Coturnix japonica: one gene and its partners. The protein of the gene in region 4 interacts with the protein of the main gene of each other region in a pairwise test. Links are inferred from orthologs where the notes say so. Each region holds a gene or a part of one and is shown on either strand. Other genes may lie near its edges.

Region 1 (4,374 bases), on a different chromosome or scaffold from region 4:
TTATGCCTAAAGGCGGCCTCAGCTTTGACATGAACTCACCTGCCCCATGTAATTGAAGCAGTGTTTGTTGAAGATAGCATTAATCTGGGGATCTTGAAGAGCACTGAACAGCAGCGTCTGGCGGTAGTACTTGGACCAGTTATTGAGGTTTGGCATTCGCACTCGGGAAAAGTCTACCCCATGGGAATCCAAAGGCAGCAGGTTAATGTGCTTCATCAGGTGCTACACAGAGACAGAAACATACTGCTGCAGACTGACATAATTGCATCCAGACTGCAAAGAGCCTTAACTGCAGCAAGAAAGTGGACAAGGATAAGCAAGACAGCACAGAATGTAACAGCAGTGATTGCCCAAGATGACTGCCTGGGATTTATTGACCCCATCAAGAGTAATTTACCTAATTTCATTCCACGGGACTCAAAACTGCCATCTCCTCAGCCATCAGTAACAGCAGCCTTTGCTTCTAATCCTCTCCCGTGGGGGAAGCCTAATGGATCTGTTTGTATGTACTGACGTCAGCAGGTCCAAGGTTTCTGAGCTAGAAGCAGCTGAACTGCTGCTCCTAATGCATGAAGGGGCAACCTGGCAATGCCCAGGACTGGTACTGCTGCTGCTGCACAGCAGACAAATGCACTCAAACAAAAACAAAAATGGAAAATGGGCTCCAGGACACTCCAGGAGCATCGTGTAGGCTCATGAGCCTTTGCCAGGACTCCCCAGGAAATAAGACACTTTCAGGCTCATTTAAAATGTACAGTAATGCCAGGCTGCCAAAATGATAGGTTCAGATTCCTCAAAGGTGTTTCTATATGAAATACACAAACAAAAACAACTCCAAACTTTCAAGCTTGAAAACTTCTATTAACCTGCGGCCATAAAACATGGGCATTACCACATACTGGTGGCAATCCTAAAGCTTTATTCATTATACACGCAGGATAAGTCTGTTTCAATTAGGACATGACTAATGCTCGGCGGCTCTACTGTCAATGGCAACAAGCACCAGTGCCCACTGCTTTCTGGAAGAACCTCAGTGAGGTTGGACAAACTCCTCACACAGCTGTGATCTGAGACACGGTGCAGTCAGACAACTGGCAGATTTTCCCCCAGAGGTGACTAAAGGAATCATAACCATCTAATCCTGCAAAATAATTATAGTTGTCAAATAAAAAGCCACTGAAAAAAAAAAAAAAGCCAGTCAATAAAAAAATAAACCCAACCTCACAACCAAACTACGATGAAATACAATAGTAATGCACCGTATCACAGAGTCATAGAACGGCCTGGGTTGGAAAGGACCACAATGATCACCCAGTTCCAACCCCCCTGCTACGTGTAGGGTCACCAGCCACCAGAGCAGGCTGCCCACAGCCACATCCAGCCTGGCCCTGAATGCCTGCAGTGATGGGGCACCACAGCCTCCTTGGGCAACCTGCCCCAGTGTGTCACCACCCTCTGTGTGCTTAACTTCCTCCTAATATCCAAATTCTAAGATCTACAGAGAACAGGTACTGAATACAACCAAAAGCTGCAAGGAAATTATTTGTAGTAAAAGGAAAATAAATATTGGTGGATGAAAATGAACAAACAAGTGTCTAGAATAAAGTCAGTAGAAAACAGCAAAACTATTCATTCCTAACAGTAAGTTGTAATTAGATGAACAAGACACAGTGCAACACAAAAAAACAGGGAAACCGTACCAGAACATGTTCCCAGTTCTGCATTAGGTAAATGTCTGCCTGATCAATTATGAGCATCTCTATGGATGACAGAAAATCGAAGTCTCTCTTCTTCTCTCCCTCTGCGCCAATGACAGTCCTCATACCCAGGGGAGAGGCAATAATGATGTCTGATGAATAAAACGGCGCATATAATCTCATGCTCTTTTGTAGAATAGCAACCCCTGTCAGAACACAAACAGCAGTTCTTAGTCAAAGTTAAGGGCCAACCATTTTCTTCCAGAAGACTCCATAACAGTAACTCCCTACATTTCCTCTCCCTTAGCACATGCTTGTGATTACAGCAGGACAAAACCAATCCAGCTGAAACTTCCCTGAGAATGTGCTTATCTACCCTTCCTCCATTTCATAAGCCTTTGGCAGATTTTCATTGCTAGAACTCTTCCAGCAGTTCTTTTTTTTCCTCAGCTTTTTCATAGCTTGCATGACATTATTGAGCCAAAATGCATTTCTCTTGATTTACTGTTAAAAAGAAAAATAAGAGGAAAGAGGGGCTAAAAAGATGAAAAAAAGCAGTAGAAATGATTAACTACTCCTTTTCACCCTCACCTCTAGGCTTTGGTCCACGTCATTATCTACTGTAGTAACAGTTATTTCAACCTGTCATGAAAGATTTAGCGTGGATCTCCTGAGCACTGATTGCTTTCATTCACAGGGCCACAGGAGACACTACTAAAAGACCAAGGACAAGGTTGATCATGTTACAAAGGCAGAAAACATAGACAGCCCTGCAAATTCTACCAGGAAGGTGCTAGCTGGCTTCTCAAGACACACGTTGCAGTGTCAACTAGCTCATGCATCACTTCTGATGATAAAGGAAAAGCAAGAAAGTAAAGGAGGAAATTGCTACCTATAACTATATGGACACACAGTTTTCTGATTTTAAAATCTCCATTTGGGCCACATTCAAACCACCCACTACACACTGCCCAACACAGGTGCCTTTTCAGCTTATTGCCCTGTCTGCCTGAAGCCAGCGACTATAAGCACATCTGAAGGCACGTCAAGAATTTCACACAGGCACCCATAGGGACATCTCCTGCTGGCTATTTTAACCCAATAATAAAATAATTAAAAGGTTGAATTTCCAGGAAAACAGCACTTATCTCAAAACATGTCGGCATATAAACATTTTGGTAATTCTAAATGTATTTGATTTAAAAATGGGAAAGGATGGTTTTAGTAAGGCATAACAAACATGCCCTGAATTCAATCTTAGTGCTGAAGTAACAGGATGCAAAGCACATTAGGAAGGAATAATTATGCTGCTTCTATGATTTGCTTCTGCAAGTAACAGCACCCAAAGTTCCCCCATGCATTTCTTCACACTCAGTAAGTGGATCGAGGAGACTGTGCTATAGGAGAGGACTGCAAGGCAAATTATTTTGCTACAAAATGTAAGATGTTCTCAGCAAGACAGATACTCACTGGGGAAGCATGAAAGATTGAGTGGGAACGACCTGCACCTTCCACACTATCATTATACCTCTTGGGATGCCAATTTATCTTTCAAGGGACAATCATTTCAAGAAGCTCTTATCTGTCAAGTTAGGTTAGAAAAAAACTGCCTACTCATTGTGGCAGCTCCGGGAACCAAACTAATTCTTTGCACACTGAGTTACTAAAACAGCTTGAAATTACTACAAAATAAGTCGTACATTTGCTGTTTGTCCAATGGTCCCAATTGCTGTCCATTCCTTACTGCTCATAAAAACCATGGGCAATACAGTAGAAAACTGCTTTGCTCAGTACTGAGCTTGAATTTGTTTCCACTGTTACTGATTTTAAGATACACCGTGAATACACTAACTTGACCTGAGATTTTATTGCTTTTTTTTACATAACATGGGTGATTTTGCTGCATAATCAAGATTATCCTCTTTCAAATGAGGTGCGGGCAACCCTGCCACAATAAAGCAATCACTGCATTTTAAGGGACTCCGAACTTGGAGTGAAAATGTTTACTTTTATATTTTCTCTTCTATTTTTTAATGGCAAGGAATGGAATATTTTCAGAAGTATTCATGATGCCACTGCAGACACAGCACAAATACCTCAGAGCCCCAATTCTCACCAGCCCCGATGGCTCCCAGACATTAAGGAAGAACCTGTTAGATTACCCCTCACTTCTTTATAAGCAAAACTCATGTTCTGTGGGTCATTACCAATTCTGAAGTGGTCATCAATGTTGCCAGCGAAGACGGCTTCATAATCTTCAGGTCTTTTCAGGTTGGGGGGCTTCTCGTCTGGGTCAGAACCAAACTCCCCTTTGAAGCGCTTCTTATTACTTACATCTATTTTTCTTTTCTCGTTCACTTCAAGAAGACTGATGAAAATATGCACAATTCGCAAAGCACATTCCCGGAAGGGCACTATTATCAGCACCTGCACAGATCAACAGTTACAACTGAACAACCCAAAAAACATCAATATCCACAGCTGAGCATGTTAAGTAACTGCTTTGTCTTTGAAGTGCCCACATTTGGGCCTCCCAGCAATCAAAACAAGCATCACCCTCCTTCCCTGACATAACCACTGTGCCTACGTGACAAAATAAGACCTCCCAGATAGGTCTAAACCCTGCAGCCATGGCATGTACTTCTGCCCTCAAACAGTCCCCTAGCTTCTGACTTCC
Region 2 (5,261 bases), on a different chromosome or scaffold from region 4:
GCTCAAGTGGTGATGCCCAACACATCACCCAGCTTCTCCTTGGTGCAGTTTGGAAAGCCCCCAACAGATGTGTTACTTAAACACCAGGAAAGAAAAAACTACCCAGAGAAAGGAAAAGAAAGAAGCCAAAAGCAAAGCAAAATCTACAGGAGAGCGGACACCACTGGGAACAGAAACTGTGCCTGTTCCAGCTCAGTACACAGTTGGTAAAACCCAACTGCGTGTCCACAGGGTCCTGAGAGCTGGCACGAAGCCTGGAACAGCCTGAATCTCTTCTTATCTGCCCCGGTGCCATGCAGAAAGGGTGAGGATAAGGATCTGTGGGGCACAACACCACTGGCTCTTGGCACGAGCCCCAGACGTGGAAAGCTGAGAAGCCAAGTGGCTGCACCTCAGGACAGGGATAAGCTGAGGGCTGCTCTGCACCACGCCAAGAACTGCCCTCAGATTGCTACGACAGGAGGCAGCAGGCAGAACGGGTGATGGGATTTTATTCTTCTGACCCGCCAGGAGAGTTGAAGAGCCCCCTGGGCACACACCTGCAGTCTGGCCTTCACCTTCGACTCCACGTTCTCATATTTCTGGGATTTCCATAGAGCTTTCACAGGTTTGGGCTGGCTGCGCTCCTGGGCTCGCTCCCTCTCTTTGCACTTCTTCTGAATCTCCTTTATTCTCCTCACGTTTTCCTTCTCATGGTCCTTGGACTCTTTCCCTGCACAGCGAGGGGAGACACAGCTTTCAGCCCTCAAACACTGCCAGCAGACGTAGGCTCCTGGATCACAACACCAGAGCTGACAGCTCCATCTCTAAATCCACCCGTGGAAACAGCAAGTCCTCCCCCCACCAAAGACCACACAATCTGTGCATTCTGCCCCCCATGCTGGGAGGGCTGACCCTGTTTTTGGAAGACCTCAGCTGGTTCCCTTCCAGTTTTGGCACAGTGGTTGTGGCAACCACCACACTGGCACCATCCAGAGCCTGGGGCAATGCCAGGATACAAAGCCAATAAGAGCCAGGCAGCACTTACTCTTTGCTGGCAGACCCCCACCAAGAGAGAGCCCATCGAGCTGCAGCAGGAGGCCGAGCGTTCCCTTCTGCCCCTTCTCCAAGTAGTCCCTCCCGCTGGGGCGGATGCGAGGGGCTGGTTGGGGCTGCTGGGCACTGCTCAAAGCACGGGCTGAGCTGGGAGCTGAATCCGTGGGGTGAGAGGTAAAATCCAACCGCTGAGCATTGCCTTCCAGCCTCCCCCGAGCTACAGAGAAAGAAAGAAACAAAAAGCAGGTTGGCACCATCTCACATCACTGCTTTCTTCAAGCAAGTGATGCCAAAGGTCCCCCTGCACCTCTGCCTCATGTTTTCCCTTCTTATAAGCACCCAAGGACTCACCTGAGAAAGGGCGTCTGTAATAGTCTGGGAAGACCGTAGGGTCTGGAGGGATGGGCCCAGAAATCTTGGATGGCCCTTCACACATTCTGCTGTCTCTGCAATGGAAACCGACCATGAGTGAGAGGTGAACTAAACACAGCTCACGGAGCCACTGCAGAGCTGCAGCTAATGTCAGAGAGCTCATATCCAACTGCAGGGACAACCTGCAAGTAGGAAACAACCCCAAATGGACCCCATGGCTGCCCAGTGCTGTGGGTGCCCATCCCTGCAGGTGCCCCAGGCTATGGATGGACCCTGGGCAGCCTGAGCTGGGGAGCAACCAGCCTCCAACAGGGCTTGGGGCTGGGTGGGCTTTGAGGTCCCTTGTAACTCAACCGTGCTGTGATTTCATGTAGGTAAGGCAAAGGATCCAGCAGCACCACCCCTACTGCAGGACTGACCAGCACTGATCCTCAATGTCTGCCTACAGCTTCAGCACAGAAAATCTGACTCCTGGGTCTGCAATACCAACAGATTCAGCCCTATGGGAAGAGCCCCTTTTAGGATCCTCAGCATTCCAGCACTGACAGGACACAGCATCTCCCATTTCATTTAGAAACCAATAAACAACCAGTGCAAGGCTGAGCGAGCCTGACTCATAGCAACTAATGCACTGCTGTCTTCCCTGTTCAATTACCCTTGTTGACATGAGACCCATTAGCAAAAAGCTATTATTCATCTCCCAGACACAACTGCAGAGGCAACGCAAGCAGTGCAAGCACTGCACACCAGCAGGCATGTCCAGAGGCTGCTTTGTACCCAGTCATCCTGCAAAGGCTACTCCTGAAATGCTTCAGAGTCTCAGGCTGCAGTAAAACAGCACCATTCTCTTCTTATTTAATCCCATTTAAAATGGACAGAGCTAAGCCAGAATGGACTCTCTTATACCAAGAACAAAAGCATCCTCCAAGAGATGACTCCGGGATAGTTACTGGCCTTGAGACTCACATCTGATCTCGGTCTGAACTCTCCTCCAACGCCAGTAATTTAGGTGCAAAATGACAGAGTGAAAGCAGGCCCTGTAACAGAGCAGGCAATTAGAGCAGGGGGGGCTGGAGGGGGAAAGGCAGGCAGATGGGATGGGAGGTGGGGGATGGAAGGCTCCTCCTGTACCTGAACACAGGGCCCACATCCCAGTGGCACCCTGCCCTGCTGCAGGCAGCCTGCAGATGACACCCACACCCTGATTTACAAGTCACGCTGCCTCTGGCTTTGGATCTCACAAGATCACACAGCACTATGACAGTGCTTTGCCTATCTGGGTGCTCACAGCAAACCCTCCCATGTGGGACAACAGCCCCCAGCATCCCCAGCATCATCATCATCATCTGGCCTTAGGATGAAGCATCCAAACCTACAGCTCCCTAGAGCAGGATTTGCAGGTGGCTGCTTTGCTCCTATCGGTGGGACAGCAGGGCTGGAGGATGGGGCTGTTTGGAAGCTGAGGGCTGAGCAGGCTGCATCCCACCCAGCTGCAACCCCACGCAGGAACCAGAGATGCACCGTGCAAGCAGGAGGAGAGCAGCAGGAGCACGTGGCTACAGGTGGAGCAAGGCCAGCCCTAATATGCACCTAGGAAAGCATCTGTAAAGCTGTGTTAGAAACCTGAGCATCAAAAGCAGCTGTTGCCAGCAGCAAACAGATGTACGTGAGCAGCTCCTGCTCACCCGGGCTGCAGGGGGGGCAGGGAAACTGAGCTGCCCGCAGTTCGCTCCTCCCGGCCGTTCCTCTTCCAGCACAGCTCGGTGCCACCCACCGGAGCTGCGAGCCCGGCCGGGGAGCTGCGACCTCATGCGGAGCTGGAGCTGCGTTGTTCGGCTTTGTGCTGCTCCGAGCCCGGTTCTGCAAAAAGCACGGGGGGAACAAAGGAATAAATGAATCCATCTGTGGATAAACTGCGATAAGAGCTGCGATAAGAGCTGCGATAGGAGCTGCGAGCAGCAGAGCGAGACAGCCGGGGCCGAGCAAAGCGCTCGTGGCAATTGGGCCGTTGGCTCCTTCCCTACCGTTATGGGCGGAAGGAACCGGGTCAGAACCGCTGCGGGGGGACGGGACGGGATGGGATGGGATGGATGTGATGGGATGGGATGGGGGAGGATGGAGGCACCCGCCGGGCTCCGGCCGCACCGCACGCACCCACCGCGCTCCGGGCAACCGCCGCTTCCGCCGGGGGGGGATGTTGGGGCCGTGCCGGGCTGAGCCCCGCCTGCACGGAGGTGTGGGCACGATGGGCGGCTCGGATCGGCCCCGCTACGGGCCGGGCTTAGTGCCGCGCTGTTGCTGCGTTCCCCCGGTAACGCCCCCCCGTCCATCCCGCAGCCTCCTCCCGGCCGCTGTCGGATCCCGGCGCTGCTCCATGTCCGCCCCAACGCAGGACGCAAAGTGAGGCGGCCCGTCCCCTTCGGGAGCCGGCTTCGTGCTGCACCGACCGCCGTGTTGAGCCGCACGGCGCAGCGCTGGCCATGGCCTGCAGCACATCCCTGTCCCGCAGGACTCACCTGCAGGTGCTGCAGGACCCCGGTTTGCAGCCCCCCGCTGCTGAGGGCGATGCCAACCCCGCTGCCGAGCCGCAGGGAAAGAGCAAGAAGAGGAAAAGCACGAGCAACACGCAGCCGTGCAAAAAGGTCCCACCTCGGGACGCGCTGGGTGAGCACCCATAGGGAACAGGGCAGCAGGTCGGAGCTCCGTCATCTTTCAGGTCCCTTCCAGCCTAAACCGTTCTGTGATTCCCCTCCAGGCCGGCTGCCACGTCTGCGCCCCTTGTATCAGTACATCAACCTCAGCACGGAGCTGATGTGCCCAGCAGGAGGGGAAGGGGAAGGCAGGCAGCAGGTAGGGCAGCTGCTCCAGGGCTGGAGAGAGAAGTCCAGCAAGGCTCAGTGAGCACGATGCATGGTTGGGAGCCCCTCTGACATGCAGGGCCAGGCACAGAGCACTCTGTGCCAACCAGGCCAGCAAGGAGGGGAATGACTTGCCAGCAGGTCATGGCAATGGGGAGGGAGCAGAGATGTGCAGGATGCTGTGGCTCAGCCCCTCAGAGATGGAGGCTTTGCCCTCGTGTGTGCCACTCTGGGTGTTCCCAGGGGCCCCAGCGCAGGCATAAAGGAGGTCTCCCAGTTCAGGAACAGCTTCAAAGCAGATCCAGCATCAGCAGGAATGAAGTCAGACCGATCTGTGAATGAAGGCAGGGACTCTTCCAGGTGAGCTCAGGAGACATTATCTCACCTGCTTTCCGTAGCACACAGCCAGCACTGACAGGAGATGCTCAGAGCTGCAGCAGGATCAGCAATCCTCTACCTGGAAAGCATTGCAGGAAGATGCTGAACTGCCACTGGTGCAGCTGGAGGGAACAGCGCGTCATTTACACCCATCTGCTTCCTTCCTTCAGCCCACAGCTGATGAGTGCTCAGAGCCAAGGACCAAGCAGGCTCCCACCCTTTAGAACAGCACATCAGGACACTTGTTTATGTTGAAAGGAAATAAATACCTGCAAGTAAATGTCTCATTTAGAGACTGAGCAAAGAATGGGCCCAGCAAACTCATGAGGGTGTTGCTCCTTAGCATCTTCATTCATCACAACGGTCAGTGTGGGAGGCCCATGATAAACAGGGGATCTCTGGGACCAGTGACTCCAGAACAGCTTTAAGGTGAGAGGAAAAGCAAAGAGGTGGGGATAGCTCTGTGCTGCCCAAGGGGGAAAGCAAGTCCCATCACAAGATCCATCTCCTGCTTCATCTCACCTGGTGTGTTCAGCTCTATGATGGAGGTTTTGGCTCAGCTAAATCACACACAGGCACCCAGCTGCACAAAGAATGCCCTTAACAAACAACCCAGAT
Region 3 (4,554 bases), on a different chromosome or scaffold from region 4:
TAAGATTGCATGAACGAGGTTAACTTGGAGGAAAAAAGAATGCAAGAGGAAGACAGAGCGATGAAAGCATTTCAGTCCGGAGAACACGCAGCTCTGTCCATTAAAGATCTGCTGCAGAAACTCGACAGGCCTGACCAGAATATCCTCTACTACATGGGAGGGATCCAGGTTCTGACAGGAGCCATAAAGGAGTGTGAGTGTGTGATGCAAACCTTGTTTCTGTGGGGGTTTGTAACCTGGGAGGATGAATATGACTGCAATAGTTTTTGAAAGACCAAAAACCTATTCCTGTTTTAAAAAAAAAATACAACAAATGGTGTTTGCTATTTCAGCGTTTATGTACAGTGGATGTTTCCATGTTTCTTTTTATAGCTAAACCAATTCTGTAGCTGAGCTGTTGATACTTCTTAAGGATTTGGTCATGTCATAGAACTATAGAATGGCTCAGGTTGGAGAGGACCTCAAAGCCCACCCAGTGCCACCCCCAGCCATGGGCAGGGCTGCCCCCACCAGCTCAGGCTGCCCAGGGCCCCATCCCACCTGGCCTTGAGTGCCTGCAGGGATGGGGCACCCACAGCTCTCTGGGCAGCAGTGCCAGCGCCTCACCGCCCTCTGAGGAAAGGATTGTTTCCTCATATTTAACCCACAGCTCCCCTCTTTCACTTTAAAGCCATTCCTCCTTGTCCTGTCACTATAATTTAAGAGGTCTCAAATTACTTTTGAAAAGTTAGCAGTTCTCTGTTGAAGAACAATGATTTGCAAGGCCAGTCTCCTGTTTAAGTCCTCATAAAAACTCTTGAAAATGAAGTCAATCATTCTCCACTGCACCAGGCATCAATTAGAGTGGTCTTCCACTTCAAAGCTGTTTCTGCTTCAAGCGCTCTTGAAGTTTTTCCCCTCTTTTCACAATGCAAACCTCCTTTCCCCAAAGCTGTTGATCCAGTGACCTTTTCCTTCAACGCTGTGTTGCAGCAGAGCAGGTGTCTGCCTTCATCATGGTGAGTCGGCCAGATGGCTCACGGAGCTGACTTGTTTCTCTCTGCCTCTTTTCAGGCACTGAGCAAACTTTATTTAGAACAAACAATGGGTTCAGTATCATCAATGACAACAAGGTCATAAGACGGTAAGAGAAGTTCCAGAAGAGAACAGTAGCACGTTATAGCATGAGGAAGTGACTATGTTGTTTTCAAGAAACTCAATCGCCTCACGAAATGCAGATGATCACAAGATAAGGGAATAACTGGTTGTAATGTCTGAATAGACTGACTTGTATTTGACCCAAACAAATAGGACTCTCTTGGATTCAGTGGACTCATGAGTTTCTGCTCCTGTCTCTGATCTCCTATTTCTGTGCGGTTCCCCTATCTCTAACGGTGAGAGCAAAGCTGGTAAAGCTTACTGTAAGAAAACAGCTGATGTAAAAGTGTAGTTGCCTTAAGTGTGTCTGGCTGGGCATCAGTAAATGTCTCACCTCAGCTCTGCAATGCAACATGTAAAACTCTTCAGTCCTGTAACTGAGGAGGAGGATTCCCTCTGGGACCTGTGTTCTCTGCTGCTGTGTGTTCTGGGCAACCATTAGATGGTGTTTTGGTAACCAAGACACAAATCCAGTTCAATTGCTTTCTAAGCTTTGTCCCGTGAGGGATCTCTTGCCTGGTAGATGACAGACACAAGCAAGATCCACAGAAAAGATGTGATCTGAAAATTTGGTACAACTAAGTTGGTTCAGAACAGTGTGATCTGGTTGGAAAAGGGAAGAGTTGTTTGCTGCTGCTGTGTCCTCCTAGATTTGCACCATGCTCTCACGTCCTGGCTCAGCACAGTCATGTCAGTGCAGAACTGAATGCACCACTTGTGCTGCTTACTGACTGCAGGAGCTCTGTGTGTGCTCAGGGGGTGGTGTAGGTTCAGTAGAACATCAGTCTGGCATTGGAGGAGATTGTCTGGAAAGCAGGTCTGGTTCAACGTCTGAAAATGTTTAACTAATGAGCTGTTGCTAGAGCTGACGAGCTTATGTGCTTGTATGGCAGATCCTCATTGCTGTGAGGCTTTCCCAATGTCCCCAGCCAAAGATCTAACCCTCATTGTTTCATCTGCCTTGGGTTCCTTTTGCAAGCTAACATTTCTCATTTAGGAGCTTCTGTGCAGAAAGAAAGAGCGCTGCTGAAGTGGATCTCTGTGTTTGTCTTCTCTCCCTTTGGCAAGCTGTCTGCGCTGGGAATGGTAAAGATGTGATCAACATTAATAATTGTTCATGGTAATATGGCACAGTCTGGGTTTAGAGTTGTTTTTTGGTACAAGCATTGCTTTCCCAGAGCACTTGGGTCTAGGCCTTGCTGTCAGCAAAGCTTTTTGGGGGTTGAAGCACTGCTGGGTAGTGCTTCAGAACAGGGCTGAGTTTCCAGCCCTGTGCACATCTTATATATGCTAAAGGGGCTGGAAGTCAATTCCCTGTGATTATTGCTGGCTCTTAAGATCACATTTGTTTTGTCTTTTTTAAGCAGTTCTACCTGTAAAAAGCAGAAGTGCTGTTAGAGAAGGGTGGATTCCTTTGGCATCACCATTAAGGCGTTGGTTTTCTGAGGTCTGCAGGGAGGTCAGGAGTGGGATGGAGTGGTGAAGTGGTGCAAACTGCCACAAGGAAAAGAGGGCTTGGTGCCTGCACCTCTGTTGACTTGTGTGTTGCTGGGTCCAGTGGATGCACAAGGAAGTGTGTAGTTAGTGAGAGCAGGAGTGACGGTTGGGATTTCATCACTTGTGACGCTGTGCTTAGATTCCCTCTTTTTTCAGAAGAAAACCAGCGGCTGCTGTTAACTCACCCTGATGTGAATGCACAGCTGTTGGAACTGCTGTGTTCCGGTGTATTGGAGATCCAAAAGGAGACACTGGCACTAATTGCTCTCTATTCAGATAATGAGAATGGGAGGAGACTGTTGGTCAAGCACCAGGACCTATCCAGGTAACAAAGGCAACTATTATTTGGTAAGACTCCCTTAACCCTGGGCTTGCAGAGGTCCAAAGCTCACTCCACTAGCATCAAGCAGAGCAGCAGGTGGGTGACAGGCTTCTGAAAGGGACGTGGTGATGTTGAGACCTAAGCCAAGGTGAGCAGAAGTGGAAGTGAGGTGCATGGGGAAAACAAACTTTGTTCCTGGAGATGTCTGTGAAGATAAGCAGGAGGCACTTTCTGAAGAGGTTTAACTTTGAAGTATAGTTATGGGTTTATAACCAGTAAGGCTGTGTCCCTCGCATTCCAGTAAGAGCTTACATTGTTGCCCCTTGATAGCTCATGCTTTCAAGCAGCTGCTCTCTCCTCATCTGGCTAAGTGGAGAATAAAAAGCCTATTAGCTCTTAGCTCTTGTCCTGCCATTTCCTTCATAGAATGGTTTGGGTTGGAAGAGCTCTTTAAGATCACCTAATTCCAACCCCCTGCTATAGGCAGGGACACCTCCCCCTAGGCCAGGTTGCTCACAGCCCCATCCAGTCTGGCCTTGAATGCTTCCAGGGAGGGGACATTCACAACCCCACTGGGCAACCTGCTCCAGTGTCTTACCAACCTCACAGTAAAGAATTTCTTCCCTATATCTAGTCTAAATCTACCCTCTTCCAAGTTTAAAACCATTCCCCAGTTAACCTGTTGAGCAGAGGAGAAAATTTTAATGTGCTACTTTGCAATAAGAGGTTTAAACTGGTTGATAAACAGTACAGATTCTCCAACGGATGTACAGACTTCACTGTGTTACATGCAATGTTCATCCCAAGACCTGTAAAGCTTTTTAGTTAAAACACCCACTCACCCCCCAGGACTGTGGGGTTTGCTCAGCACGTCCTTCTAAAGCACACAGTCATCACAGTGATCTTCCCTGCAAATGTCTTTAATAATTCGGCCAAAGCTGACATATAGTTTTTTTTGTCTCTTTATGTATTAATAACAGATGGCTGCAGATATTGATGATGTTCGTCAACAGCGCTGATGCCAGGGCTGGCAGTGCCATGAGTGTCCTGTCAGATTTAATTCAAGAAGAAAAGTAACTAGCACTTTTTCATTATTTTTTTAAATCAGTTACAGTAGTAAATACTAAATGACCTTGTGATAGAGGCTGCCAGCCTTCTTTGCCATTTTGCCCTCTTTACTCAGTTTACCTTCTGTGTATGTTGCTGTTCTGTTGCTTTTCTCTGTTTGGTTGTTGTTGTTGTTGTTGTGCTAAAGCTCTAACTGTCCAAACATGGCTTTCTTTATCCTCAACAGGTTCAAAGCACAGTGTCGCCTCATGTTTTCCACATCTGTTTTACCATTGTTCACCCAACTGCTGGTATGAAAGGTCTTAATTCTGTGTTTCCAACATGTTCTTCTTTAACGTGTCTCATGACAACTGCTTCCAGTATTGAAAGGGACTGTAAGAAGAAAGGAGACAGACTCCTTGGGGGGTTCTGTTGTGATAGGAGAAGGGGAAATGGCTTCAGACTACAAAAGGGGAGATTGAGACTGGAGATAAGGAAGAAGGTTTGGTACTGAGGGCTGTGAGGCACTGGCACAGGTTGCCCAGAGAGGC
Region 4 (5,086 bases):
AGTTTTGCTTTCTCACCTGTTGGTAGTATAGAATTAACAAAGATAGAGAAGGCAAACAGACGATTTGGAAACAGCATAAAGAAAGCAAGTTAAAGCCGAACTGATGACTCCCAGAGGAAACAAACCACAGACATCTAGAAGAGCAGTCAATATTCATTATACAAATGTTTATACACATTCAACTTGTGCATTAGAAACTGAAACAATTAATAACAATGTTTTTCATTGTGCTCTGCCAAAATAAAAATAATTAGTAAAACTCTTCATTTACACACATACCAACTGCCATGCCCTATTCCCTTTCCCCAAGCCAATCCAAGCCAACCCAGTACCATTTTTTAGATTCATGGTTAACAACAGAAACTGTGGGTTTGGTCTCACAAAGTGAAGTCCATACATATATCCCAACCACAAAACAGTTCTTTGGTACTTAACCTCCTCTTTTCAAGAGGACATTATTATTTATAAACTAAAATACAAATCAATGTACATCACTGGATTTGTACATTTAAAAAAGACCATTAAAAATTCCATCTCTTGGCTTCAAGTGCAAAAACCCTCGATCCCTTATTTAGCTTCCTCATGGCAGAACATAACAGCATCTCCAGTTTATATTCCCACACAACTGTGCCATCCTTCCATTAATTCCAACAGGAACTGCCACCCCCTTCCTCCAAAGAACTAATCGATAACCAAACATTTTAATCTTTCTTTGTCCCAGTATTACTCTACTGAGGCAGATTAGATTTTTCTAATTTATTTCACACTTAACATTTAAATTAGAGCATAGCTGGCAGAAATATTACTACTTAAATGAATGTGTAACTTAAAGATCAAATTCTATCCTCAACAGATTTACATAAAAGCACAGAAAGGATAACATTTGTCTACCAGCATGTTATGTGGATCTCCTTAACTCAATTTACTATGGATTTCAGGTGCAAGAATTAATGCCCCTCCAGGAGCTGAAGTCATTACCAATTACTTCTGCCACACCTGCAACATAATCCTATTTTCTTGTAACTAGTGGAAGTTTTGCCACTTGCTTGAAGACAAGTTGTATTTATCCTTTGATTTGCTACTCTAGCAAAACGATGTCATAGATGCAGGCTTCTTTCTAATAAGAAAATGAGATTATGAACCCATGTCATGAAATTTATTCCCTGCTAAAATTGAGATCCACATACATATTGATAATTTTAACTATATAAAAAGTTGCCAACAGAATTATGTCTGTCAACGTGAACTTATAGCATAAATTTTAACAACAATGTTGACTCATTTTGTCAATGTCACTTTGTCACAATGTCATTTTGTCACTTTTTTCTTTAGACAACTCCTTAAAAACTGTGCCCTATGGGTACCAATGCTCCTTCTTTAATATCTTTACAAGACTCCTTTTTGTTACAGGACTTCCCAACAGGCTGACACATACCAATATTGTCAGCTGCACTCTCACTCTGAATGGATTCCCATACACACAGGAACACTTTCTTTTTAAGAATTGCCTAAACAAAACAACAACAAAAGCATATCTGCCTGCCTACAGGCTGACTTGTTTTTATTTTTTGACTTGTTAAAATCGTGTTACTGCTGTGTTACATGGCAGACTCAAAAGAGGAAACCAGATGCTAGATCTTCTTATGACGTTAAGTTGAATGTCCACTTGGGGACTCCACCATTCAATCCCTTCCCTACTCTGTAATCCACAGAAACATACATGCAACCTGTCTTTACCAGACACATAAAAATCTATGTTAAAAGCCACCATCAAGAAGTCTAGTTAGTTCTGAAAACTGCAGATGAATATTTTTTGAAGTTTCATTTTCTACCCACTATAGTGGCAGAAAGAGTTGTTCTCATTGCAGACTGTGACGGGAATGAGAAACGGGCTATAATAACAAATATGGTGTTGCTGCATGAAAAACTTCAACAATTATAAGAATGGTAGACAGAAATGTACACAATAAGGAGCTGCTCGTTAAGTATAAGAGACTATATCACCTTCTTGACCACGAGATCCGCTAGGTTGGTTTGAGGCTTACTACCCCTCAAACTGTTTTTTTTTAAATTATTATTATTTATAATAAACTAGACAAAACAAGTAAGAAAAGGGCAGGAGGTCAGATGGGTGCTCTGCTCCTGTATGTTCTTGGCTCAGGCAAGTAAAGTTCTGGAAGGACAGCAGTCTCTTCGGTAATGCTGTCGCTGTTCAGATGCAGCGCAGCTTTACAGCTCCACCTTCTTCCCCCAAACCTGCAGCAGAAGCTGCAACTTCTGAAATATGGTACGTGATTGTTAATGCTTAGCCCTTCCATTCACTTGCTATACTGCACCTAGAGCTGCAGTCACTTATCCTCAGCTGGACAGGTAAGGCAAATGTATCACTTACAAGAGAATGAAATCGGTGATGGGCAGAAGAGCTGCTTCGTGCCACCACGCTCGCGGAACTGCCTGTGTGCACGGTTCAGCTTCACACCTCTGCCTAATGGCTGGAGGGCCTCATTGTGCATGGCTACCTTTTGTTATGCAAACAAAACAAAACTAAGAACAGACCGGCCAGCCACTTCACACAGCATGTTTATCTTAACAATTTACACTTCCTTTTAACTTTCCCTAACAGTTTACAAAATATTTAAGCCAGCGACAGCACGTGTTAAAATGAACAAAGAAAAGAAAAACGGTCGATCCCAGGGTGCGCAATGCCAAAGTGAAACGTCCTCCAGGACAGAAGCAATCCTGCAAACTGCTCACATTCAAAAAATATCGTTCCTTGCTTCAAACGAAACACCTTTACACCACCATCAAGGAAACAGGCTCGTATAAAACTTACTTGAAGTACAAAACGGATGAGAACGCCTTAAAGATGTTTTCTTAAGTGATAAATTTTCAAAACAGAAGCATTAACTTTACTTTGGCATTTCTTAGTGTCTGGGGTTTTTGTTTTTGATTTATTTTCCCTCTCGATTCAATGCATTACAACTCCGAGTGCTGCCCGCAGCCTATTCTTGGTTGACTCTCAACACTCAGCTCTGACCTCCCCGCTTTGCGCGGGCGGGCTACACCCTGAGCTCCCCCCGTGATTTCTTCCCCCCGGAGGAGCAGCTGCCCATGGTGCCCTCTCCCACCGAGCTGACACCATTTCGCACTCCGAGCCGCGTACCCCCGCGCGGCCAACTCGCATCCCACTTTCCCTGCCATAAGGGGAACAACGACAAGCGCTTACTCCGACACCGGGCGCCCTTGGCTCGCACAGCCGCTGCCCGGCGACGGAGCAGGCCCGGAGGGAGGCGGGGAGGGCCGAGGGGGCGGGGAAGCTGCGGGCAGAGCACGGGGCCCCGCCGCGGGAGAGGGGCCGAGCTGGAACCCGAGCGGCGCGGAGCAGCCGAAGGAAGCGCCCCGCCAGCCCCGTTACCTGCGCGCTCCTCCCCCGCGGGCACGCTGCCGGCGTGCAGCCTTCACAACAAAGCCCCGGAGCTGCGGCCGCAGGAGGAGGAGAGCCGAACTCGCCACCACCGCGAGCGCGCAACGTGCAAGGGCTGGCGGCGGGGCCACGGTCCGAGGGCGGAGCCCAGCGGCACGGCACGGCACGGCACGGCACAGCTGCGGGGGTGGCTCGCGACTCGGGCCAGGCGATGCAGGACGGCAGGCGCCGCCGTGCGGGAGGGAGAGGCGGCGCAGGGCCGAGGTCTGCAGGGGGTGTGCGGACACAGCTGGCGTCTAGCCGGCCTGTCCTCCCACGCACGGGAAAAAGTTGTTTTCTTTTGGAGGGGTTAGCCCTGGAGTGCTGCCCAGGCTGGCGAGGAGCGGTATTCCCCGTCTATGGAGAAAGAAGCGCCGCATGCATGCATGGGTTTGAGAAGAGTCCATGTGGAAATGGGATTAAACCTGAAAGTGCTTTGGGAAACCTGCATAATGGGAACGCTGCCTATTGAGGGAGAACAGGGAGGGAGAAATGCAATACGTGAAAGAATTTTAGTAAGAGAATTTAATGATGCTGGCGTCAATAGATTTGTGTTTTAAATACAAGCAGGTTTTTATGTAAGCATTTTTATTGCAGTGACACCTTTTGCAGACAACATCTCTAACCAAATAGGTTCTTCATCTGATCAACTCCAAATTTTCTTGACCATTGAATAACTCCAACGAATCTAGCTTAATACCAGATCTGCTATTTGGATTAAAGGAGCATTGCATAGTGAGACCTACATCCCTGCAATAAGTGAATGTTTCAGCATCTGCTTTTTGTTGATACCAATCACTGGAGAACAAGTGATCCTGCTGTATATAACTGAGCAGCAGTCTCAAAGCACAAAACCAAGGGAACGGATACTAATGTTAATGAAACATTGAAGTTGAGATTTTAATTACTTAAATGTCAACACATTAAAAGTTCTTTAATTTTAGAAAGTTATTCTGCATTCCCACAGCAATTTCCACTCTGCTGTTACATATAGCAAAGAATTCAAGTAACTGTTTGCTGATGCATGCAAATTATCTATTATACCTCAATTTTATTGCTTTATTAACTCTTTTGCATATATTTTGTATGTTTTTGTGTTTTACAGTAACAATAAAAACTTCCTCTTGTTTTAAATTGTCAAAGGCTACATTTCATTTTAACCTCGGAACATCCAGTCACTTAGCAACATTTGTTGCTAAACTATCACAACACACTCACAGGCACTCCACAAACTGACAACAGAACACTACTTGAGGAGCAGACTTCAAGGAAGCATTTTCCAAAGGTATTTTTATTACGTTATATTTATGTTTTTACTTCCAAATCCTAAGGCACCTGCAATTGCTTCTCAAAACAAGAAAACATTTGGAAAGGTTTGGCAAATGATTCTCAGAAAGATGAATGAAGGGGATGAAAGTACTGCAGTTTCAAAACCTTATGCACAAAACCCATTGGTAGGCTGTTGAAGAATCCACCCTTCTCAGATTGTGCCTCACTGTAGAACGCTATGGGTTTCTGTGTGTACACAGGTTACTTACTGAATGGACAAGCCTTCTGTTGGCTTATTAACAGTATTAGAGGGAAAAATGGAGAAGACGAAGAGAAACCACAGTACTACTCAGA

The links.
Region 1: the proteins of MIPOL1 (region 4) and UTP25 interact in binary tests that used the Homo sapiens proteins (3 or more experiments, as listed by UniProt). The link is inferred for Coturnix japonica from reciprocal best matches to the Homo sapiens genes MIPOL1 and UTP25.
Region 2: the proteins of MIPOL1 (region 4) and ENKD1 interact in binary tests that used the Homo sapiens proteins (3 or more experiments, as listed by UniProt). The two-hybrid records come from large-scale screens. The link is inferred for Coturnix japonica from reciprocal best matches to the Homo sapiens genes MIPOL1 and ENKD1.
Region 3: the proteins of MIPOL1 (region 4) and TTC12 interact in binary tests that used the Homo sapiens proteins (3 or more experiments, as listed by UniProt). The two-hybrid records come from large-scale screens. The link is inferred for Coturnix japonica from reciprocal best matches to the Homo sapiens genes MIPOL1 and TTC12.

The regions. Positions count from the first base shown.
Region 1 is NC_029518.1:20,182,460-20,186,833, forward strand, and holds part of UTP25 (digestive organ expansion factor homolog), read right to left. Parts: intron 4,125-4,374; coding exon 3,905-4,124; intron 1,904-3,904; coding exon 1,701-1,903; intron 223-1,700; coding exon 40-222; intron 1-39. UniProt on the Homo sapiens protein: Component of the ribosomal small subunit processome for the biogenesis of ribosomes, functions in pre-ribosomal RNA (pre-rRNA) processing. Essential for embryonic development in part through the regulation of p53 pathway.
Region 2 is NC_029526.1:1,872,816-1,878,076, forward strand, and holds the start of ENKD1 (enkurin domain-containing protein 1), read right to left. Parts: upstream 3,245-5,261; 5' UTR 3,219-3,244; coding exon 3,093-3,218; coding exon of another isoform or gene 3,031-3,092; intron 3,018-3,030; exon of another isoform or gene 2,998-3,017; intron 2,975-2,997; exon of another isoform or gene 2,445-2,974; coding exon 2,374-2,444; exon of another isoform or gene 2,314-2,373; intron 1,482-2,313; coding exon 1,387-1,481; intron 1,253-1,386; coding exon 1,028-1,252; intron 713-1,027; coding exon 540-712; intron 1-539. Other genes in the region: uncharacterized protein LOC116653968, read left to right, coding at 3,602-3,641, 3,745-4,071, 4,163-4,257, 4,664-4,867. UniProt on the Homo sapiens protein: Microtubule-binding protein which regulates microtubule organization and stability. Promotes the stability of astral microtubules and facilitates the proper orientation of the mitotic spindle.
Region 3 is NC_029539.1:5,037,367-5,041,920, reverse strand, and holds part of TTC12 (tetratricopeptide repeat protein 12), read left to right. Parts: intron 1-4; coding exon 5-193; intron 194-1,053; coding exon 1,054-1,123; intron 1,124-2,134; coding exon 2,135-2,223; intron 2,224-2,790; coding exon of another isoform or gene 2,791-2,793; coding exon 2,794-2,959; intron 2,960-3,936; coding exon 3,937-4,029; intron 4,030-4,250; coding exon 4,251-4,314; intron 4,315-4,554. UniProt on the Homo sapiens protein: Cytoplasmic protein that plays a role in the proper assembly of dynein arm complexes in motile cilia in both respiratory cells and sperm flagella.
Region 4 is NC_029520.1:33,521,215-33,526,300, reverse strand, and holds the start of MIPOL1 (mirror-image polydactyly gene 1 protein), read right to left. Parts: upstream 3,524-5,086; 5' UTR 3,416-3,523; intron 3,294-3,415; exon of another isoform or gene 3,227-3,293; intron 2,484-3,226; exon of another isoform or gene 2,393-2,483; intron 1-2,392.